Lonchura striata: one gene and its partner. The protein of the gene in region 1 interacts with the protein of each later gene in a pairwise test. Links are inferred from orthologs where the notes say so. Each region holds a gene or a part of one and is shown on either strand. Other genes may lie near its edges.

Region 1 (12,290 bases):
CGGCCGGCCGCACGGCCGCTGCCCGGCGCGGGGCGCGGGGCCGGCCGGCCGCACGGCCGCTGCGGGGCGCGGGGCGCGGGGCCGGCCGGCCGCACGGCCGCTGCGGGGCGCGGGGCGCGGAGCCGGCCGGCCGCACGGCCGCTGCCCGGCGCGGGGCGCGGCCGCTGCGCGTCCCCAGCCCGCTGCCGGCCCGCGGGGCAGCGCCGCGCTGCGCTGCCCGCATCGCGCCTTTAAAACTTCCTGTGTGCAGCGGTGGCTTGCTGAGAGGACTGTCCATCATACAGGCGCTTTGTCTGGCAGTCACTGCCATTTGAATTTGACTGACTGAGGAAGCCCGAGTTATTTGTAAAGAACAACAAGGCTTTTCATTCATAATTTCAGTGGGGGGACAGGGTGCTAATGACTGAGCTTGAATAACCAGGGAATGCGGTATTCAAGGCAGGAAGAAGCCCAACTGGCTGCCAAATGAGAGGAAGGGAAGGGAGGGAAGGGGGATGTAGGTGAAAGTGCTTGTGTGAAAAGGCAAACAATGAAATCGGGATCACACGCATGTATACAAATACAAATCAGGTTCTCAAAAGGTAAGGCAGGCAAAGACAGAAGCAGGAAGGAGAGCGGAGGAAATTCCAGTTTCTATTTCATTGACTTGCCTTCAGAACCAGCCTCTGCAATGCTAAATCCGAGAGGGTCTCAGCAAAAGGCAGCCCTCTTCCCTCCTGCCTCCCTCTCACCACAGAGAAATGCTTTCCCTCTCCTAGACCTTTTTACTGCAGAAAAAATCCTTGGGTTTGAAGTTGGGCTGAATGAAGATTTTGCCTTTGCAGCTTAAGCTCCAGCTTCGACCAAACTTGAAAGTACAACTACTAGCCTGGGCTGTGGCCCAGCATCTACCATCTGTACATATAATTTTACATATTTACATATATTGTCTAACTCTGCAAATAATTTGTCCTCACGGAAGTCAAACTTTACCTGATGCAAAAGCTATTCAGCTAAATAAATGTTGTTGCCTTTATATCTATTGTCTACATTGGGATTATAGATAAGGTGTTAACAGAAATTTCCTTAGCTAAAATGAATTTTATAGAGCCATAATTTGTGTCCCTGTGGAGAAAACAAATCTACGGAGCTAAGAAAGAAAATGGAAATTGAACCGCACATATTTTCGAAAACACAACTGCTTTGACACAACGTAAACCGTCAGAAATGGGTATAATTTATGCCAATTTGAATTGCTTTGTGAGTAAGCAACAATAAGAAAACTTAAAATATGTTAAACGGTTTAAACACTTAACCTCAAGAATGAAGGAAGTTTTCCAGTGGGCTTATTTTGCAAGCTTGTTCTGTCAGATGCAGTGGATTTATTGTCTGTTTGTAATGCTATTTCCAATGCTTCCTTTAACTTTCATTAATTAGAAGACCATCCTTGGAGCTGCTCTGGACAGCTGGATTCCCTTCTTGGCCTGGAGCACGTAAGACTTTCACTCAGGCTCCAGAAGGAGTCAGGGGCTTATTTAGGAGGAACAGCTCCAAGATTCAGCTTCTCTGTTAATTTCTGCCTTTTTATCTATGGGACTTTTGTAAGTAATAGACCTGCTTAAAAGAAAGATGATTACAAAACCACAAATGAGATAGGAGTAACTACACCAGATGCAGAGATGGAAGTTTAGAGGAACTCTTTAATCAAGGGGTGGGAGTGCATGCTCCTGAAGAGATAACCTTGTTTAGATAACCAAACATTTTGTCCTCTTCTCTCTCAAAGTAAGAAAATTGTCTAACAGTTCATACTTTTTTAAAGTGTTCTGATTCTATCAGACACAGCTTCTGAAATTTTGCTTGTGAAGAAAGACTCTGGAGGTCAGAAGGAAATGAACACCTTGGGCAGCATGTACATAGCACAGAGACTGAACTGGGACCTGAGAGTCCTAGTCCTTGCTTTTGAGATAAGTTACCTCTTTCTTTCTTTCCTGTTTTTTCTCACCTCTAAAACGGGCAGTGACATCTCCTGAAAACTAGTCTGAGATCTGTGGAAAAAACTGTGATACAATATCTAGCAGTTTAATTACGGTCATTGATATTGCTATTATAATCAGGGGAGAAAAAGACAGTACAGATCTGGGTCAGGGTATCTGCAATTTTTATTTTTTTAATTGATGTAAGCACATAAACAGCATTTCAGTTTGATTGTGTTCTGATTTTCAGACAAGTGATAGGGAAACACCAGTTTTTATTTTCCTTTTTGTGCAAAATTCATTAATCTCCAGTAAAATATTCTGTCCTGCATATATCACCTCCACTTTCAGGATGTACTTGTCTTGTCTGCTTATATTCAGATGAACACAAGTCTTTCACATCTGAGGAAAATAAAAATAATCTCAGTAAATAGGATAAACATTATACTTTTTTAAAAAACATTTGCTCAATCTGCTTCCTTTTGTTTCTAGCAAAATCTTTAACTCTGACTTGTACATATTCCTTGAGTGACATTCAAGATTTATGTTACAAATTGTTAATCTTTAGGAGTATTTTTTGAACTCCAGCCTCCAATGCAAAAAAACACCTTATGTTCTGGGAGCAAAATGGCCATCACAGCATGGAGGTCCATTCAGGCTACCTTGTACTTCTGAGAAGAGCAGGCTTCTTCCAATTCCACTGCTCACAGTACCAAAGATATTAATTTACCTTTCTACTACATCGCAATTTAGAGCTAGTTCAGGTATCTCTACATCAGTGTTTTTTTTCTAACTGTGATCTGTGAATTCCTATCAAACACTTCTAAATGGGAGGTCTCATTATTTACAATTTTCTAAAAATGTTTGTGCTTCCCTTATTTTTTTTTCTATCCTAAAGCATAGAAAAAGTCTACAGATTGAAGAAATTTGAAAACTGCTGCTGCAAACCACAGCAGAGATGTGATAAGTCTCTTAATAAAACTTTCTTTCAAATTTCCCATAATGTCTAACATTGACCTCTTCCATTTCTTCTGAGTCACTTTAATCCCCGGTCAACACATAAATGTCTGCATCCTGCTACAAAATATTTTGGGAATTCCCAAACTAGTGCTTATTAACATTTTAATAGACTATTGGTTGATTTTGCATAAAATTCTAGTAGAGTCAAGCCCAGTATTATCTAGCCTCTAACTGCATGAATCTAGAAAGTGCAGTGTTTCAAACACTAACAGACGGAGCCTATACACCATAAAAAGCCTGATATAATACCAGTTTAGCAAATAAACTTCACTTAGTCCCAATCCATGCTAAATTGTCCCACTTATGAACATTGGGTGTCAGGGTATTTGAGAAGAGAAATTATAAAATGCATTGTATAAGCTAGAAAGGTTTATAAAGTTGAATTTAAAAAAAAAACAGTGCTGATTTAATCAAGACACAAATATAACCAAATAACATTGAATGACACATCAAAGAGCATACTAGCTTTATTAGAACAATTTACATGCAAAAGCTCCACGTTATATTACTAGTACTAAATGTATGTATACTTCAGTATAATTTCAGAAGGTACAGGAAAGGGATTTGTTTATTCTTTAAGTTTACATAAGTATATTTGTTATTCAAGAAAATATCCTCTGGCAACTGTCCCTCTATATACTGAGGCAATCACCAGATGGAATAAAGTTACACAAGATCTGGCCTATATCATCTGTAAGAAAGATGTCTATCATGAGCTAGATCGGAAAATAATAGTTTAATTAGAGAAAATCTGGGCATCACTAAAAGCAGGAGACTAAATCTCTGAGCAGCTGAGGAGCTTGTGCATTCCCAAGCAGAGTGGCAGGTACCAGTTCTTTCACATGTAACAGTGCTGATCCTTGTCCTACCAGACCGTGTTCATTTCCCCCCTTTTTCTCAGGGAAGAGAATTCCAGGATTTCCTTCAGGTAAACTACAACAAAAATTGCAAAAGGAAAACTAACAGTACTGAGTCGAGGACCTAATTTTCTTTATAAGTTTTCAGTGCAATGTGTTTGACTTCTTTGTTTCTCTCTATGATTTATCTAAATGGCCTTATCTGCCCTGAAGAACCTCAATGAAATATCGGTAGGCAAAGAAAGCTTTACACTTTTAAAAAGCTCAGTAATTCCTTTATGTACTTTAGCTTATTCAGAGTCACAAAAACGGAAGATAATCAATTAAAGGTTTAAGTTTTGATGGAACTTCTGGACATTAGAAGTAATGTGCAGCCAATCTTAGTCCTTTTAGGATGTGTAGAATCAATATTCCCATATCATTGCATTAACTCCTGAGATAATGCATGAAATGTTCTCAAAGTCAGCAAAGTACTGCACTTTCATTCCCTTGCAGGAAGAATTCCTTATGAATGAGCTGTCCTCCCTTTTCAAAGTAAAGGGGGAAACCACTTGTTTCTGGTTCTGGTCTGAAAATCGAATCAATCAAAAATTTGTGGGATAATTTCAGGATGAAGCAGAAAAGTTTCAGCTATTTTATATGGGTGTCTGTCAAGTCATACAGTTTTCAAATCTATATACACCATTTTTAACCTGAAGCCATTGGAATTGCTACTATTCAAATAGCTCATGAACATACAACACTTACACACATATAAATATATGTGTATGTTGGTGTGTACACAAATATGTATCTATACAACAGTTACATTTCCCTGCTGAGAATAAACTCAAGAACTTCATCTCAAAAACAAGGTCTGCTTGGGTTAAAAGCAAAAAAAAAAAAAAAAAAAAATCAAAAAACCACACAAAACACACAAAAAACCTAAAAAACACCAAAAAAAATCATGCAGTAATTAGAGCAAACCACTAGGGGAAACATAATCACATGCATTAAGCCACTCTCTGCAACAAGAAACGTGAGTGAAACATGTAATCCTCCAAAAGCTTCTTCCAAGGTGCCATCAGATTAAAACTGAGAAATCAGCGTCGAGGTTCCAACATGAACCCAAGCACACGCACAAAAATGAGCACATTTAATTTTCTGCAGATTTGTGCACTGTTATTTACCTTTGTGCCAGTTAGCGCACAAATCTTTGCAAGTTTAAGGCTTCTCTTTCAAACTCATCAGTACCAGGATGCTGTATTCTTGGGGGTTTTGCTGGTTTTATTTTTGGCAGGTTTTTTTTGCCTTTTTTTTTTTAAGCTATAACACATTGATGCTTCACCATTTTGCACACATGACTGCCTCTGTGAATAAAAATCCCTGTTTTGAGATCTGTCTTTGAGACTACTCTCTGTATTAAGTGTATGCACCTGTATGTGAGAACTGGAGTGGGAATTGATGATTCCACTACTGACCGACAGATTTAAAAATGGTGTTATGAACTTTCCAGTTTAAAACATTATTTATGTACTCAATATAAACGATAAAAAATACTTTAACAGACCTTTCCCGTGTGTATAGGTTTGCACAAAAATTTCTTATTTTTGACTTTGCTATGTGGGAGGAAGTATTTTTGTCTTCCTACAGTGAGGGGAATATTGTGTTTTCTGTTTCCCAGATATTTTAACCCATCCTTGTCTCTCTCAGCTGAACACCGTGGATTGCCTTGCTGACACGGGGCGTACAGCCTACACACAGGGCACATCTCCGAGGATGCTCATGACGCATGACGCCAGGCCGCTGGGTGCCCCCTTCCGCGGGGGAGCTCCGGGCAGGCCCGCGGCTCCCTCCGGCGCTGCCCGGCGCCGGGGCTGGTGCCCCCGCGGAGCCGCCCTGACCCGCTGCCCCCCGCCCCGGCGCCGCGCTCCCTCTGGCGGGGAGAGCGGCCGCGCCGCCGCCGCTCCCCGAGCCCGAGGGTAACCCAGCCGCACCGGGCTGCGGCTCCAGCGAGGGGCAGCCCCCGCCCCGGCGGGAGAGCGCTCCGTCTGCGGGACCGGGGGTCGAACAGGGTGGAGAGGGGATGGGTGGTCGGGCTGCAGCAGCTCTGTGCAGGCTAGGGAGCGATGGAGCTTGAAAGGAAAAAAGCGAGCCCCGTTTAATTCCGTCTGACCTTACTGTCACCCAAGTATGGAAAATAGTTTGCAGGTTCAGAATATTACTGTGGAAGAACGGATACTTGAGCATAAAACCACGAAAACTCGAAGGCCGTCCATGTGAGACACGACCCTCATTTACACGTTTTCGTGGGGAATGTCCACCCCCTCCACAGAGCAGTGACCAGCAGGTGTAGGAGAGCAAGTGCCTGCAAAATCGCCTCGAGTAGTAGAGGGCTGGCTCGGGCTTGCACCGAGGGTTGTCCAGCGATTGCTGCCTTACACCCGGTGTGTATTTTAAGCAGTGCCGCATGTGACACGGGAACATTCGTGCTCGGTGCGTGCCTGCCGGGGACAGGGGTGCGCGCACAGTTACGTGCCGGCGCAAGATGCCCGCGTCCAGCCAGCCACAGTGGCCCCGTCAGTACTTCCAGCTCGTACCAAAGGGACCGAGCTGTGGTCGTGTCAGGAAACGCCCAGAAGACAAATAGTCACGTTCGCGAGCTGCTCGCAGACCGTGTCCTCCGCACGAATGGCAACTGACTAAAATAAAGCTGGGGGGAGGGAGGGAGGGAGGACTTTGAAGGGTTTTTTAACTTATTGGAAAAGAACTCCACGCATCCAGCACCCCCACGCACAGGCGAGGGGACCCCGCCGGTGCCAGGGACGCGGCGCACCCCGCGGGCAGGCGCCCGAGCGCGGGGACTGCCGCCCGCTCCGCGCCCCGCGGGCCCCGCTCCGCGCTCCCGCCCGGGCACGGGGGCGCCCTCCGCGCCGCCTAATCGCATTAATCCGCGGGACAATGCCCCAAGTAATCACCCTTCCTGCTCCCTGCGCTGCCGGCGACCGGCGGCTGGAAAGGGCGAAGCGGGGGAGGGGAGGGGCAGAAAGTGTAAACTTTTATTCCACTCGGTTAAGAAAAACGGGTGGGAAGCAACGGGGAGCACTTGGATACAGGTCTCCCGAACGCTCGCAGCGGCGGGGAGAGCGCGCCTTCCTCCCCGCGAGAAGCGAGTTCCCCTCGGTTTCCCTGCAAACCTATCGCCGCCTGCCTCTGAGTAAATACACGAGCACAAAAGCAACCCCGAGCGGCGTGAGACCGCGCACGGAGCAGCCTCCCGTGAGCACAGGCTGCGGCGAGGCCCCAGGAGCGCGGCTGCAGCTCGCCCCGCGCAGCGCGGGGAGCGCCGCGGACGGGCCGGGGCCGGGGCCGGGCCGGGGCCGGGGCCGGGGCCGGGGCCGGGGCCGGGGCCGGGGCCGGGGCAGCAGGGCTGGCTCGGCGGCGGCAGCGCTACCCTTTTGAATGCCTCCCGCAGCTCTGAGTGCTGGCAGGGCGCTGAGAGCGCCAGTGAATGTAGCCCCGCAGAGCCAATGAGCTGGGACCGGATGCGATATATCCTCTGGGACAACAACTGCTCTGTTCCTCCTCAGATCCACATGACGCCATTTACTGCTGCTTTTGCAGAGAGATCACCCTACCTCCTCCGGAAAGAAAAAGAGAGAGAGGGAGAGAGCGAGCGAGCAGAAAAACGTCGAGTCCCTACAGCTCAGATCTCAAATCTTCCTCCTCCTCCTCCTCCACCTCCTCCAAACACACAACAACAACTACCACCACAAATCCGCTGCGCTCCCAAAACACCCCCCCGATTGCAAACCACAGAACTGCCTGCAACACACACGCTCGCAGAGGGAGCGAGAAAGCTAAGAGGGAGAGAGGGGAGAGGAGCCTGCAGCAAGCAGCTTCTCAGGAGAACGGCTACATTGCACAAGCTGCTTTTTTGGAGGAGCTCAGTGGAAGAAAGCTCTGGGATTTTATTTTAGATCCACTTTGTTTTGTTTTCTTTGGCTTTTCCCTTTCCTCTTGAATTTGCAACAGCAACAAAAAAAAAAAAGTGACTTGGTATTGGCGATTCGGCCTCCTGTTCATTGAGGAAAAGAAAGGAAAGTGTGTGTGTGTGAGACTGAGTGATTTTTAGGAGCAAAGAAAACCCACCCCGATCCGGAGAGGTGTTTTGATTATTATTATAGTATACACACACACACACGTATTTATAATCGATCTGGGGAAAGGCACCTAACTTTGATCTGGACTTTTTTTTTTTTTTTTTAACATGGTGATCATTCTTACTCTAATTTGCAAGTCGGACTAAAGCAGAGCTTGGAAAAGAATTTTTTTTTGCTTTAGGGCTGGATTTATTTGCAAACCGCAGGAAGAAGAAAATACAAGAGAGAGGGGTTTGGTGCAGCGCCGCGATCACGGTGAGAGCCTTTTCCTTCTTTGCAAAACAAGCTTTTCAGTAACCTCCTTCTCTCCCCCCCCCCCCCCCCCCCCACCCACCCCCGCTTTGGTTGCTCCAAGAAAACTCGTGGAAATGTTTGAGGCCGATCCCTTTTCCATTCGTACAGGTTCTCCCTCTCCCCCCCTTCCCTTCTCCTTCCTTTCTCAGAGAGGAGCTGGAGGTGGGATTTCGGAGCGGTTTTTCTCCGGGGAGGGGTGGGGGGAGCTCCGTGGGGTTTGCGGACTGCGCCCCGCCGGGGTGCCCTGGGGGTGCGGAAGGCTGCGCAGGGGGCGGAGGGCTGCGCGGGCGCCTCGGAATGCCTGCGGGGCTGCGAGTGGGGCGGGGGGTGCGCTGCAAGGAACCACAGCTCCGGCGTGTTCTGGCTGCTGCGGGGGGCCGGGCACGGGAGATCCTGCGCGCTCCTGCCTCGCTGGGCACGCGTGGGTTTCCGACAAGCCCCGGGGGAGGTGAAGGGAGAGCGCAGCGGGGCTGGCGAGCGTCGGGGCTGTTTGTCCCCCGGTTTTGGGGAGAAGGAGCAACCCGCCTTTCAGTGCTTGATTTACGCCTGTCTGTAGTGGCGTCAGGAGATCCGTGCGATTCGGAAGTGAGTGCACGTCTGGTACAAATATATACGTGTGTGTGTGCGTGTGTGTAAGTTTAGATATTTCTCCTGTGATGAAATTAATTCGATCTGTAAGACGAGGAAAGTCCTTCTCTAGGTTCTTCTATGCAGAGGGCGTGTGTGGACGGGAAGGAAAAGCCATAATTTTTTTTTTTTTTTTTTCTGTGGGCTTACTTAGTGACAGCCCCCTTCCCCTATTTAAAACTGAAAAAAAAAATAAAATAAAGGAAAAAAGAAAAAAAAAAAAAAAGCTGCTGGTGTTTTCAGCAAGCTGTTTGTGTGTCACTTTGCCCCACCCCGATGGTAAAGTCCCTTTTGCCCTAATCCATAGTCTGATCACACACTCGGTCCTTAATGGGGGTTTCAAAGCACTTTGAAAGAAGAGGAGGTGGTTGGTGTGTGTGCGGTGGGAATGGGGGTGGGGGTGTCTTGCACAGGCTCCGGCCACAAAACAGAAATTCACGGGCAGGGGACTTCTCTCCCTTAGGCTTCGCCCTTCCCCGGCCAGCGGTACACGGGATTTTTCCACAGCGCGCAAGAAACCCCTCGAGTTTTAAACCTCCCCAAATGTGCCGAACGCGAAACTCGTCTCCCTCGCTCACCCTTTTGCCAAGCCCAGCTTGAAAGAAAAGTTAGCAATCCTGGCACTTGAGTTCGGTGAGAGTGGACTTTGGCTCTTAGAAGTGGGGAATCGTGTTATCACGCACATGCACACACAAAAAGGCAAATCTGCTTCTCTTGCTCTTGGCGGATGCAAAGGAGAGAAGTATTAGGTCAGAGGAGGGAGAGGTATGCCCTCCTGTCAGGATTTTCAAGCAAATGTAGGTGAAAAAGAGATTTTTGAGGTTTGCAAATAAATGTGCTGGTTCTTTGCATCCTGTCCTGTTAGCGGATCTATGACGGGGATAAAAAAGGGGGAGCACCCTGCTCGGTCTGATGCCCCCACTGGAAATGCCTCCTGGGTCCCTCCGGGCTGGGGCGGAGCGGGGCGGGCTGAAGGTCAGGCAATTTGCAGAATATGCGTAAAATAAGAGGAGCTTTTCCAGCGGCTGGCTTTGTGAAGTTGAATGGGTGTTTAGCGCAAGGCGAGAGGGGGTAATCTGCCTTTTGCCCAGCTGTCCCGGAGGTGTTGTCTGAACCGTCTGCAGGGCGCCTGGCACTTCCCGGGAGGGGAAGCTCCTTTAGCATCTCCTGAGGGAGGGCAGGGGGGAAGAGTTTAAAGGAAACATGGGTTTGACTTTCTGATAAGGCGACTGAAGCAGCCCCCTCCCACCTCCCAGCCTAGAGGATGTCTCCTGGTTATCTCCAGGTTGTCTGCACTCTCCGGCGGGCGAGGGGCTGTCGCCTCCCACCTGCTGCGCGCCCCCCGCCCGAGACGGAGCTGGAGGCGGGGAGGGAAGCGGAGAGCGGAGGCTGCTTTTCCAGCTCCCACCTTGGCGTCTGAGGGGGGCTCCGCCACCGATCCCGGGGTCGTCTGAAGCGCCTTCAGGTCAGGGTCAGCTTTGCTTTTGCAGTGGGTTGTCATTTCTGGAGAATCAGCCCGGCGTACCCTCCAGGCTGGCTGGGGCTGGTGGAAACCTGGACGTGGAGGAGAGATAGGGCTGCCAATTCCTCTCAAGAATGGGGAAAGCATTTTAGTTTTTATTATTTTTTTATCTCCAGATAGTTTCAGAGGAGTTGAACATCTACTTGGGCTGTTGGTTGAAACTTTTGGTATGGCAGAGGTTTTAATTTGAAAAAAAAAAAAACAAAACCATAAGCAGTGCTTCAAGCCAAGTTTGCAAGACTTTTTTCTGGGGGTGTAGGGTGGGGGGGGGGTGGTGAAATGAGCACCGTAACATACATCCTGTGTCCTAAACCAGGATTTGACAATATTTAAAATAAGTGGTTACTCTTAAAAGTTAGAGATTTGTCTATATGTTTTTGTTTGGGTTTGGTTTTTTTTTAAGAAAAAAAACACTTGAAGCAGGGGAGCCAGGAGTTAAAAGGTTAAATGTTTTGCATTGATGTTAGAATAACGAGTGTCTTGAGATACTCTTTGTTAAACTGTTTGGCTATATTTTACTATACTGCAGTACAGTATTATTGTTGGTAACTGATGTGTACAGAGTAACACTATGGTGCTCTTTCTAGGTATAATTGAAGACATTGTGTGGTCCTTTTAAGAAGTTTGGTTCCTGCTTGGGTTTTAATTGTAGAATATTGTTCTGGATTTTTGTATAGGTAATTGGATTTTAGAGCCACTTTAAGATATGATAAAGGCAAAACAAATATTAACTAATTTAGAAGGCAGTACTTGAAATTTGAGCATATTTGAGTGTGGAAGCTATTTATGAGTTCTCATCTTTGTCTTTTACTGGCTTTTCATTTAAATTCTAAAGTCTGCATTTCTACTTTGTAGTTAACAATAATTTCAATTAATATTCATAATCAAGTAGGCTTCTTGGATGCTGACATTATTTGATTATGTTATGCATGCCTCTATCCCACAATCCACTCTTGATAATATTTACAATTTGAAATGTAGTCTATGGAATTTTTTACACATTAAAAAAATAACAACCAAACAACTGTGGTAACATTGCTTTTGTAGTTTTGAGCCTTAAAATAACAATCACAGTGGTGTGCAACAGTATGACACACACTAAAATACTGGAGAGAGATATTTTTACTTGTGCTGTTGAAGTTTTTGGTAGCACTAACTCATTTAATGTCTAACCTCAAACATTTTATTGCTATTTAGTGTTTTTCTTGGGACCATTGGTATTAAACTAAAATTTCCTATTTACATCATGTAAAGTTTAATGTGTAAAGAGACTAGCCTACCAAAATATTATCCAGTTTTAAACAAAATTGGAGAATTATATGTCTGTCATCAGCAGGTCACATTACACTTGCTAAATACTTGCAGGATAGTTTGTTGGTTTTGTTTTTTTTTTTTTGAGTATAAGGTTTTCAGTAGCCTGATGTGAAAAGAAGTGTCACTTCAAGTGGTTGAAATGTAATCACTTTAAAGGCCATGGTCTAACCAGAAGATGACCTGAGAAGCCTCAGTTAGCAGGACTAATACCTAGACTTTCCAGAGCCACAAGTTAAGTTGCATGGTCCTAGGAAAGAATCCTAGGGATTCTTAAAAGTCTTTAAGATCTCCACAGCAGTAGGCAAAACAGGCCAAGGGAATTTGGTCACTCAGCTGTCTGGTGCCAGTGCTTGTTCCAGACGTGACTCCTTTTTTTAATGGCTGATGCATTATTTGATTGTCTGCGGTGCTGTGGGGTCCTCCAGGCTTGAAAAGCTGCTGGAGAGAGCGTGAGACATGTTGCAATACTGAATCCTCTCTTTTTTGCTCCAGGATTTCAGATGTGTTCTAAGCCTGGCGGGGTGAGCAAGCTTCTGGGCAGTGATGGAGACTCAGCACAGCA
Region 2 (13,018 bases), on another chromosome or scaffold:
GAGGTCTGGGAAATCTCTTAAGTGATGATTCTCTTGAGAACAGGGGATGAGAGTCTTAAGCTTTGCAGCAATTCAAGGGAAGTCTCTCTCATCAAGCTGCAAGAATAATTGATGCTATTTTGACTGTGTTACCTCAGCATCTGAAGGGAGATAACACAGTCATTGCATTGAAAATGTCTTGGCATCTAGAGACCTTTTTTTCAGAGAAGAGTCATGAAAGAGGGTTAAATCATCTGCCTCTTTCTGGAATTATCTACATTGCCCATGGTTTTTGATGTTTCTGATCAGGCATGATTTTGATCTGCAAGCTCAGAAAGGTAGACTTGGAATAGTGCATCTATAGATTGCCATCCTCTCCTAACCCAGATCTTTGCACAGCAGAATAGAGCTGCATAGCACGGCTGTCAGCTTTAGTGTGACAGCTCAGTTTGTCTGCATTTATTCCAGAAACAGTGCCACTGGTTCATTCCCCACAGCTTTAAGATGTGATTATACCAACTATGCACCTCCTATACATTTTGATGTCTTTTATGATTCCCAAGCATACCATCTAAACATACAACTTTCTGAACTCTAGGCTTGGAGTTCACAGCATGATGTTTAATATGGTGTATTGAATATTAGGGCTGTTTGAGTTTGCATTTCAGATTAGCCATTTGCATCCAAACCTTATGAATGTTTGATGTATTTTATTTACTTTATTATTTTAAAAACTGGTTGTGGGGATTATTTCTTCATTTGGTTATACCTTCAGTATTCTGGCAGTCCTTATATTAATCTAATAAAGGAATTTTCCCCCACTGTATCAATGAGTCAGTGGAAGAGGTTGCTGCTCTGTATCCTTGCTTAGTCAAGGGCAGAAAACTGCTACCACTCTTTCCCATTAAAACAGAGACAAAATTATATTGGCCCCTATGCTTAGAGTACTTGCCTGTGTACGACCATTATTAATTCACCTTAAATTCAGCAAAAACCTACACAAGATGGTAATTTATTCAACATTTTCCATCACAATTTTGGAAGTTTTTCATAAGTGCTGTTGGCTCATTTTGTCTGTCCTTAATTCCAGTAATAAAATAAATCTAAAATACCTGCATGGCATGATGCAAGGACTTCAATAAGACAATTAATTGTTCTCTACAAAAAAACCTCAAACAAAACCAGCCATAGAGAATTTAAACATCTCCCATGGAAAGCAGATATTCACCCCTGAGGTGATCAGGCAGTTGGACTAGATGATTATTGTAGGTCTCTTCCAACTGAGCCCTTCTCATCTCTTGCTCTTGTCTAATATCAGAAACTTTCTGGATTTAATATTTCACTGTTTTTTTTACTACATTTGATAAAGTTTACCTCTTTTATATTTTTTTTCCTGTACTATTCCTTTTTTCTCCTCTTACATGAAAGCAAAGTACCTTTCATGCTCAATGAATGAGCAGGTCCATCCCTGGCAATACACCTCCCGTGACAATGGGCTCTACATATTCGCTGCCATGACCATGATGACAACAATTCCTGAAGAGGATTATAAAACAGTCGTAATCTAGGACCATGCTATGTATAGAAGTGTCTAATTAATTTATGTTTGGATATCAACTTGGTTACTGAAAATTATTTTAATGCAGCTAGAAAATTCTCATTTTTAAGGGGGAAGGGTGTTAGTCTACCATGTTTATCAGAGCTTGCTTTATATCTGAGCAGGGAAAATATTTACTTCATTTGATATAAAGTGCCAAAAAGATTTCATCTATTGGCTTTCAACCAAAGATTGTAAATGAAACTCTTAAATGTTATTTTTGTCTTATTTTATCATTCAGCCCCCTTCAAGTTAAATTCCTGAGGATGCAGTACTTCCATAAAACCATTGTTGAATATTTATTGCTTCATTCTCAATGACATCTCTTCAAAATAGTGGAATTACTATTAATTTTATTTTATTGGTTTGTCACTTGTTTTCATTTTGGCAGTGAGTTTCTGCCTCAGCAACTACTGTGTTTCAAAATTTTATTCTTTGGATATATTCTGAACTTTCTCCAAAGACAGCTAGAATAATCAGCCCAACGCACAAGATGTAAAGGAGGTCTGGGAGAGGACAAAGGATAATGAAGATGAAAATAGAAAAGGAAAGAAGTTCATAAAGTGTAATCCAGTCTTCAGTTTCAAGTCTATTCATTATCCTTTACAAATATGGAGCTGTCAGCTGTTGTACAGGGTTGCATCACGGTAGCCCTGGGTTTCCCCAAAAATTGAGTTCAGGCAGATGTGTTAGCAGAACAACCTAGTACACGTGGTATGTTACTGAATGTGCCAAGAACAAGCTCTGGGGGAAGACTCACAGGAGACTAACAGACTTAGGTAAGTTAAAAATTATTTTAGTACACTTATTAGATCTACCTAGTGTAAGTAATGAGAACACTAGGTAATAGCCACTTGGACTGTAACGAGCAAAGAAAGGAGAGATGGTCCTTTGACACAAAGAGAGCAGCAAAGTCATCTATGAGTACGATATGCTATCAAGATCAGATATTTAAAACACAGTGAGTGGGAAACAGAAGTACATCATCTTAAAGGGAGAAAAATGGGAATAAAAAGGGCAAGTTAGATAACCCCACTCATTTTCTGCACTTTTAAATCAATGCAGAATTTGTCAGCAGTGGAATTGCATCAGCAAAGATAATCACCTAGGGAAATAATATGATTGCTTTATGTCACTCAAGGGCTATACATATTTCATGCTAATGAGATTATTTTGACAGAAAAGAAATATACAATAAAATGCAAAACCACAAAAAATGAAAAACAAGGGTGTTATGCTTAGGAGCAGCTTATGCTTAGTGCTTACCTCTCTATGTTCAAATGCTAAGTAATGTTTCTACAAAAAACTCATTTGAAAACAACAGAAGTGACAGAAAGAATCTCTCCAGAAAGAAATATTGGATTCACAGGCTGATGTGCTTACTGTTTTGAAAGCACAATATTTATTTAGACATTTAGGATTCAACAAATACAATTTTTTAATAGATGTCTAGCATCTTGCAGATGGTCCCTGTTTTCTCTATGTGCTTATGTCATCAGCATTATATTTCAATAACTCTATGGGGAAATCTCCCTGAATATAATTTAATACAGGGGTTTGGGATCCAATCATACAGTAGGAAAGCACATGTAGAAAAGGCTCCCTTTAAATGAAATGGGTGACAATTTCACCACTGGAAGGGCATTTCCAGCTTCCAGAAGTCAAATGGAAAGTTTGTTCTCTTAGGGAAAGCGAGGGGGAAATAATACAAATATATTATTTTTCTGATGTTTTATATCAAACATTGCCATTAGGCTTTTCTATGACTAGCAACCTCCTGGACTGTTTCTAAGGGAGCAAGAGGCTATGTAGCCAAAGACTTCCTTAGGCGGAGTCATCCTGTTCCATAAAAGCGCCTATCATTTGCAGACCAGCAGACAATATGGCTTCCTATGCCATCAAAAGAAGCTTGCCCCCAACAGATACACCCAGGAGGAGTAGAGAAGAAGGTGACCTTCTCTTTAGGACCCCTGTCCATACTACACTACAGGCTACACTATAGGCTACAGGGAGGACCCTATGCTACAGGTTACAGGGAGAACCCAGACATTGGATTATAGTTCAGCTGGGATTTCTCATGAGTCCTCTCCTGAACTGCCATGGCTTTCAGCCCAGGATGCTGAAAGCTGAAATCTCACATTACCTTAGAAGAGAGGACTGAAGACAGCAGTGGTTCAGGATTGGACCAACAGTGAGATCTGATGGATTTGCCTTCTAGGACAGTCGCCTCTCTCAAGAGGGCGAGGCAGTCAGTTGGGATCAAAACCAGGTTTAGTCACACAGGTTTAATTCATATCCACACAGCTGTCAGAGCCCTGAGATACTTTAACAGAAGCAGTGCCTGCAGCTACAGGAGGCACTGTATTGAAGAATTTCACTGTCTGATTTCTGTTTTCAATCATGCATATTTAATATTCTCTTAATGTACTTGCTTAGAGAGCATTTTCAGCTGGATTATATTTTTAAAGACAGATTCTGTGGAGCTGTCATGCAAACTCACAGGCTTTCAGTCACCCAAACTGGTCCAAGCTGAGAAGTGGATGTTCTCCATGTCAGAGTGAATGCAGAGAGAAATCATCGACTTTGATAAACCCATGCATAATGACATGTTTTATACATTCATTTTGGTATACACATTTAGATAGGTGGGTGTCATTTCCAATACATAAAGCACAAGGCTCAAACAGTAATAGGATAAGAAAGTGAAGCATAGGTAGAGAATAGTAAATATAATTACTCATAGCTCCTCTGCAAATATACTCAGAGAGCAGGACCATGACATGGCTTCTCCAGGTATTTCAGCCCTTGATAGTGAAGCTAGTTTTCTGGGTCACTATGCAAGTGACAATTATGCAAGAGAAAATTTCAGAGGCACCTCAGTATGGTGGCAAATCCATCTGATGATTTATGAATTAGAATAATATTAACCAAAACGATGTATGAAAAGTAAAGGATATGCACAACTGTTCTAAAGATACACATTTTTGTAGGCTTAGGTAAGGTACTTTTGACTTATTACCTGTTTTTGTACTAAGACATTCTAATATTTTTAATTTAAGTATTGACCTGCCACGAGAATAAACATTTAGCTTTAATTGCAATATTTCATTACAAAGTTAAACATTGTTTATGCACACTTTTAGTTATTTTAAATGTTGATAGCATAATACAAAGCTGCTAATTCTACAAAATATGTGTTAAAAGTCTTTTATTTCACTGTCACATTTCATAGTCTAGTAGAAGACAAGCTAAAAAAGCTGCACAGTCAGGCCTATTACTGAATCATGTGTACAGATGTGTGTTCCATAAATATGTTCTGTCTCTGCCAAAGGGTTTTCTTCCTAATAACTTGTTAAAAAGATAAAATCCATGTTACAGAATGGAGAATCATAAGACTTTGTGCTACTTACTTCCCAGTTTGGCTGTTGTTTGGCTTACCTGAAAATTAAAATGTCTCCAGATCTTATGCCCCTTTTCACAGTGATTAACATAAAACAAAACAAAGCAAGAAAATCTATGTGTCTGTGGTACTGGTGAACAGTTTTCCTTTTGTGAGTATATGACCTAAAATAATTTTCTAGTGTGTATGGTGTTTAACCAATATTACAGACTTGTCCCTATTGCATGCCTAGTTAAGTAGAACTGGATAAAACCTCTTGGGTCAATAGGGAGAGCACTTCACACATCAGCTATGGAGCATTCAATGCAATCACACAGAAGAGCATTTCCTGCCATTGATCAACAATTCCTGGCATTTACAAGGCATCTTTAATCAGAGAGATAAAATTGCTCTGCAATGGTAGTAAATTTCCAGAGTATCCCCCTGAACGAGATGACGAAGTTCTTGATTTACAAGTGAGCTAAGTAAATCATAGAGAAGTGAAATACTTGCCTAAGGTTAGATAGTAATTTTTTTGGCAGAGTCCAGAAACACATCTAACCTTACAGCCTTTTAGATTTGTAGGAAATAGGAGTAAACTTTGTTGCTGTAGCAGATTGTTGGGTTTGTATCTGCCATTTGCTTACACTGCACAGACCACAGCCTCTCTGTAGTGACAATGCAAAACAATGAAGAATCACATTTCCATGTAATTATGTTAGATTGTATATAAAGGGTAGGAAAGGACAGGGAATGCTTGAAGTGTAGAAAACTTTTTAAACTTCTGCTAGCTTTTGAATGAGGAGCTCCAATGCAGAGGCACAGTAGCACAATCCCATATTCTAGTTCTGCTGTTACTTGGTAGTAAAAGGGACACTTGCTCTGAAGAAAGATAATAGGCTGCACATGAACTATACTTACAGATGAGGCCCCAGTTCAAACAGCAAAAATTCTCTGTACAGATATATCTGGGAATAGAATTGGTTTGCACATGTGTAGATCTGTGAAGAACAGGCTATAAATACCTAGACAGATGTCAGAGTATTTGTTTACAATCCGGTTCACAGCTATGGGACAAAGCATAACTTCTTCAGAGTTCCAAGGAAAAATAATCTGAATAGTACAAATACTATGAAGATTTTTAGTTATTTTATCACCCTTGCTTTTATTATAAATAGGAGTGATGAACTGTCATGATTAATAGGATTTCTATTTCTGGAGGTTGTAGGGGGTTGAAAACCCTCTTCCTCATGCAAATCAAATTGCAAATTATATCTAAGCCCTAGTACATTTAATAATATAGACAGTTAAAAAAAGATTCTCTCCTGTATACTCAGTGTCTTGTTCTGCTCTTTTAGCACTTCAGCCCTTATGGTTTCAAATATGTGCTTTGAGACCTGTTTCACACCCCCGCTTTCTAAATCTTATGTCATTCTTCTTCACAATTTTGAATTTAAATCCATTAAAAAAAGACATTTATGGTTTAACATTTTAATAATGCTGCAGTCAGACTTTATTAGTGCTTCTCTGTTACATTTTGCATGAGATAGGAAAGAGTAATGAAGAGAATATCATTGTAGGGTTTTAGGCTTATGAGCTTAATGTATTATGATACAACAAAATGTATTATCCAAAGGTCCCTTTCTCACAAAGGCAAATGAGAGCACCATAGATATAGCAAAATAGAGCAGTAGTCAACGCAGCAATAACATTCCGTAATTGAAAAACCATTTTTGATAAAAATGTAATTTATTAAAATAAAAGAAAGCACTTTAGGATTCCTGATCTTGGCTGTATGCACATTACTCAGCCTGTGAGAATAGAAATGACCAGCTAAACAGAGCTATTTAGTAACTTGTGCCCAAATCCGCAGGCATCTGGGCAGCGCGTGTGTGCCGGGCTGTGAGGAACCTCCGGCCCAGTAGGGCACAAATGGTTGGAAGGAATTGCATCCTCAGGGAGTCCTCAGGACTGCTTCAAACATTCCTGCAGTCGGGAGCAAAAACCTAATTAAAACCTTCTTGCTTTCTTCCCATGCTCTCTTTGCCACTCCAGTAGGCATGAGGGTAACTCCCTACGAAAGATGGACAGAGATTGCTTAGTATGGAACCAAATCCCCATTGCAGGCAGAAGGTGAAGGGCGCTCTTTTCGCTCGCATTCCAACTAGTGAAGAACCTTACTCCTCACTAGGAGTACCTCCGCAAAGCTGCGCTATGCCGGCTGTCGATTGCAGCACGGGACGCACACAGGCACAGGACACACGCTCGGTGTGTCCACGGGCACACCACGAGTGACCCGCACCCGCCCGCCGCGCTCCGTCCCTCCCGCCCGGGCCGCCACAGGAAGCGGCGGCGCGCGGGGGCGCGGCGGGCACGCGCGCTACCCGGCATGCAGCGGGCGCGGGGCTCGCAGGAAGATGGCGGCGCCGCTGGAGGAGTACGAGAAGGAGGCGGGCTGCGTGCCCATCCTGCACCCGGAGGTGCGAGCGGCCCGCCCGCAGGGAGCGCGGCGCGGGAGCGGGGCTCGGGGCGCGGCCGGCTCGGCGTCCCGCCGCGGGGCGGGGGGGAGCGGGCTCGGCGGGCGGGCGGCCAGGCGGGGTGCACGGAGGGCGGGAGGCGCGGCGCCGCCGCCCCCCGCCGCCGGCCTGGGTGTGCGCGGCGGCGGCGGTGGGCCGGGCCGGGCCGGGCCGGGCCGGGCGGGGAGGCGGGTGCGAGTGGCGGGGAGCCGTGCGAGGTCCGCCGCCGGCCCTGCGTGCGCCCTCGCCGGCAGCGCCGCCCGCCCCCGAGCCGGGCGTGAAGCCGGGGCAGAGGCGCCCCGGGCGGTGCCGCGGCTCCGGCCCCTGAGCGGCAGCGCCCGGCCTCGCAGCCCGCCCCGGCCCGGCTGCCGGGCGGGAAGCGCCTCGGAGGAATTAGTGTTTCCCCTTGGGTTTAGATGGCACTGGTCTGCAGCTCACCCGCAGGTCGGGGCTGGTCCCATCCAGCCCAGCGCTCCCTGTGTGGCGTGGGCTTACCTAGAGAGCCAGCGGTCTGTTTTTTTCCAGTGTGTTGACGGTGGGAGGAATGTTTACAGGTAACATTTAGAGGTCGTTTCGTGCCTTTTTTTTTTTTTTTTTTTACCCTTTTGTGCCGCCCACCTTTGTCAGCGGCATGTCTGTATTATTGAGGACTAGTGTGATTGTTTTGTAAGGTATTTTAAACAGTTTAGAAAAGCTGTTACATGCGGACTTGTCATCTGATACGTTAAGGTCTGTAAGAATTGATTTTTTTTCAGCCTACAGAACTGATCAGTGCATATGTCAGGCTCCAGTTTTTGCTAAACAGATGGTGTCTTTTCCTTAAACAGTGTCTTAAAAGGCTGGTGGTGTATTTGATTACTGAAAAGGCTATATAGGCCTCTATATGTGGTCGTGTACCTTACCCTGCTCTACCTCTCTAAACTGTGCTCATGAGTTTTGAATAGACCAGTCTGTTCTGAAAGGTAATTAGCTAGCAATAAACCCCAAGTAAGTGTTTGTTTGTTGTTTGATTTTGTTGTTGTTGTTGGGTTTTTTTGGGATTTATTTTAAGGGATATGAGTAGACTGTTGCTAGACCTTTTTTCAGCCTAACTGGAGTCAGACTAAATGCAGTACCCTCTACAGAGCAGTGTCTCATGATTTTCAGAACTGACACAAGTTTTCAGTAGTGATCTAGTGTAGGATGTTGATGTTCTTTGAAAGAAAGTGTTCTTAAGTTGTGGAAACTTTTGATAGGCAATCTAAGACTGGAAAATGGAATAAAAAGCATTTACAGCTTGTCAGAAATGTATTGTGTTTTAAAGATGGAAGACTAGTGTTTGTTAACTTTGAATACTTACTGTATAGGAAATGAAATTATCTCAGTTTAAATTTGTAGTCTAGCTAGTTAATCTGGTAGAATCTTATACTGTTCCTTTGATGCATAAAGTTGAATGTCTGCACAAAAGATGAGAATGGAAGTTAATATATATTGTGTGCTGTAACATCAACTGGAACATTTTAATATGCAATAAACATCACTAGTTTAGAGGGAGTTTTATTCAATTTTTCCAGAAATGATGAATGTCTGACTAGCTATTACTTACAAGATAGTGTCTGCATGGATTTCAGTGAGTGTTTCCTTATTCCCTAAAGTCTTTGTACTGATAAACTTTGAACGAGAAGGATGTTTTTCATGTAGGTGGTGAGACAGACTAAGTTGTTAACAGACGCTCCAGAAACGCTGTTTGAAAAACTTATGGATTGTGTGCCATAGCAGAGCTGTATTGTCACAGACCTGTCCACTGGACAATGCAGTGCATCTGTGTTCAGTCGTTTTTGAAGGTCAGGGACTCTAATACATGGTGATTTCCACTTTTTAAGAAAGTAGCACCATGTCATTATGTAAGTAGTGACGTTAGAGCATATAATCAGTTTCAACATTTGTGTACATTTAAAACCGATGCTTTTTATAGTGCCGTCAAAATCTTAACTTGTTTTTTTTTTGCTTCATAGTGCTAGTGTTTATTTTTGGTATCTTTCTCAGGTATTTTTTTATGCCTTGCATATGAGGCTTTTGCTTCTTACTGTCTTTTTGTATTGACTAATTTGGATTACTTTCAAATTGTTTGAAGTTTTGTGGTTTTTTTAAGGGATGTGTTTGTTTTATGTGGGCTCTAAAGCTTTGCATTTTGCCATGAAATACTATGAATACAATATTCATGTTGTAGGAAAGAGGTTCTAAAGAATACTGAAATTTACTTAAATACTGTCATGCTGAGAGATTTGTTTATTTATTTATTTGTGGAAGACTCAGTTTGAAGTGATTCAGTAATTTCAGTAAGAAGAGGTAGAAACAAATGCTTTAGGAAACTTACAGTGGGAATGCTTTGAGGGGGTTTGTGTGGTACTGCCCTGAATTCTTGGGCCTTCCTTGCTCCCTCCCTCATGAATGAAAGCTGAACTTGAGTAATGGACTCTTCTTTCCAAGGGTATTTATTCTGCCTTTTGACAAGTTCAGTTTAGTATGACAATGTATATCCTACTTTTCTAGCTGTAAGATTGGTAGTGGAACAACAGAGCTTCTGAAGATAATTTCAGTGGTGAAATACAACAAATAATATTAATTGCACATGTGATACTTGTAGGAGGATCTTATAGTATGTGATAAATGCTTGGAGAATTGCTGCCTAACTGATACATCTTGGAAATAGTTGTTAGGATTATTCCTGAATTTCATTGTTCCTAAAAGTCTTGGAGGAGCTGGTCTACTAGTCTCAGATATTTTCTTTAGTGATTTGGACACAATATCAAAAGTGTCAATAATAAATCTTGCAGACAAACAAGATGAATGGGTACTAAGCAGGGATGATGGAACTGTACAAAACCATCTAGAACTCACATGAAATTATGCTGATAAATCAAGGCACACCTTAAAGAAGCAACATTCAAAGTAGTGCACTGAAGGTAAGAAGCATATGCATGGGATTGTATTCCAAAAGTTATTGACTGATAGGATACAAATATGAACAAGCAGTTCAGCAGAAGTACTTTGTTTAAAAATGTATAAGGAGATGATATTTGGCTGAACATGTGGTAATGCTCGTGATGAAATTTTTTCTTTAAAATATATTAAATAGTGAAGAATATGGGAAAGAATTATAAATTATTTTAATAATGCCTTACAGTATGTAAAAGGCCTGAAAAAGCCCTGTTCACGTTATCTGAAAAAGTGAGAGGTATCTTTTTTGTCCCCCATGTGAATATTTTCTTACTGAAATCCGATGCTTTATTCAGTTTATGCTTAACAAGATCCAGTGACTGGAAAGTGAAGTTGAATGGCATCAAATTGAAAAGCATAAGTGGTAAACTTGGAGGGTGAGTAATCATTGTAGTGAAGGAAGAAGCAGTAGTGGATTATCCAGCTGTTAATGTTTTCAGCTGGAGTTCAAGGATCCTTCTATAGATCCAATGCAAGATTCCACAAATGGATAACTGAGCTGTGTGTCAAATAGGTGAGTATAGAGGAGTGTAGACTGTGTTGGAGTGACTGATTCATAAACATGAATTTTTAGGAATTCTCAGCATGATTGGGAAGTGCATGGTCAACCAAAGGTAGCCCAGTGCATGTTTCTCTCGGAGCGGACGTGGTAGTGGTTGAGCTGCAGTGTGATATGGTGGCTCCATAGTGAGGGTTGCAGAGCGCCCTGCCACGGCAGAGTAACACTGGGCTAAGTAGTCCCTCCCTGCTGGTTTGTTTCATTCCCACAGTGTTTAGGTTTCTGGTGACAAAATAGCAAGCTCTGCTTCCTTTTATACAGTGTAGCCCTGCTATGGGACTGCTGCTCACGCTGATTGTGTTTGTTATCCTCCGATTATTTTAATAGGCCAACAGAACTTCTAACTTCAAATTCCTTGGATCTTCTAAATAAGAGTGAATTCCTGACTTTTCTGTGGTGGGTGGTGATAGGTATGGATGCTTTATTCTCAAATTCAAGTGGCAGGGAGGCAGAAAACTCTTAGAAAATGGATTTTGCTTGTAATGCTTCCTTGTATTTGAAAAATATTCTAGGGCCTAGTATGGCCCTAATGGTCAAAGGTATTGCAGCTGTTGACAGTTGCATCACTTCCTAAATGGTAAGAAGTATTACTGGGAAGGAAGATCTGTTTCGTTACTTCAGTGTAGTTCATTTACCAGTGCCAGGCAGTGTGGGATACATTTGAGAAAGATGGAAGTTACTGTTTATTTAGACACCTCTTGGCATTAAAAAAAATCTTACCCAAGAACAGTCTTCCTGCAAAGTTGAAAAGCAATTTTAACAGTTATGGGCTCTGTTTGGCAGGAATTTTTCCAGATGGAAGCCATCATTCTTACCTTTGTTTCTCTCCTTGTGGTTCAATTTGTAACTATCAAGGAAGTCAGAAGCATGTATGCTTGTATTCCTTGTTGGTGAATTGACGAAAACAAGTAAACCTACTGTGAATAGCTTTGCTCCAATATTTTTCTGTTTGAAATTTCAGTGAAAGGCCCGACTTTACCATCCAGCTCTATTCTCTGTGGAGTTCTGTAGATATTGTTGGTGTTGTACTGGATTGCAGATTATTGTTGATTGTCCTGTATGGATGCAGAACTTACTGTGTTGCTTAGTTAAAATCACTCCAGAGACTAGTCTTGCATTTGTGAGCTCATTCAAAGATCAGGTATCACTTTTTATACTGCTTAGAAAGGACAACAGGACTGCGAAGTCTCACACAAAGTAGCATACTTGATATTGAGGCTTGAGCCTTACTTTGTGTATCTTGGGTAGCTTCAGAGGCTGAAGATGGAGAGGACTGCAGATCTATTCCAACTTTATATTACAGGCTAAAGTTTTTTTAACTAATTCTTTTTCTTTTCAGAGTGCTAGTTATAAAGTAAAAATAAAACAAAATCCTATGTTAATAGATCATATTGCATAACTGGGAAAGTTGCCCTCAAATTTAATTAGTCTGTTTAAGACTTAAACATGTTTCTAGTCTGAATTTAATTTATTTCTGTTCATTACATCTTGCAAGATACCTGTCCAAATATAGGTCTGTCTGTATCTATTTAATATGCTGACAATTATCAGATCCCTACACTACTCTTATGGTCTGCGGTCCTCCTGACCCTTTTGAGTCTCTCGTGTTCATTCGTTCTTTCAGTGTTTTGGTGGCTTTGGTCTCAGTGCAGTAGCTGTTGCAGGAACTTGGGAGCAGTGCTCTACTCTGACTGTGGCAGTAAACACCCTCTGGATGCCCTGTCCCTGGAAGTCTTTAAGGCCAGGCTGGATGCTCTGAGCTCTTGTCCTTGCCCATGGCAGAGGGGTTGAGCTAGATAGGCTTCAAGATCCCTTCCAACCAAGGCGATCCTGTGATTCCTGCTCATCGTTCTCCATAGCTATATTTGCACTAGTCTTGTTGGGAACTGTGTCACACTGGAAACTTGTACTTAGATAATGACAATCCCTTCAAGGTAGTTTCTAGTGTAGGCCTTTATTTTAGATAGGACTTTGCTTTTGTTGGTGTTTTAAAAACCCTAATTTTGTCC

The links.
Region 2: the proteins of SPRY2 (region 1) and ZDHHC17 interact in binary tests that used the Homo sapiens proteins (3 or more experiments, as listed by UniProt). The link is inferred for Lonchura striata from reciprocal best matches to the Homo sapiens genes SPRY2 and ZDHHC17.

What each region holds. Positions count from the first base shown.
Region 1 is NC_134604.1:47,461,562-47,473,851, forward strand, and holds the start of SPRY2 (protein sprouty homolog 2), read left to right. Parts: upstream 1-6,761; 5' UTR 6,762-6,778; intron 6,779-7,008; exon of another isoform or gene 7,009-7,025; intron 7,026-7,398; 5' UTR 7,399-8,226; intron 8,227-12,220; 5' UTR 12,221-12,271; coding exon 12,272-12,290.
Region 2 is NC_134607.1:47,182,063-47,195,080, forward strand, and holds the start of ZDHHC17 (palmitoyltransferase ZDHHC17), read left to right. Parts: upstream 1-7,306; 5' UTR 7,307-7,372; coding exon 7,373-7,435; intron 7,436-13,018. UniProt on the Homo sapiens protein: Palmitoyltransferase that catalyzes the addition of palmitate onto various protein substrates and is involved in a variety of cellular processes.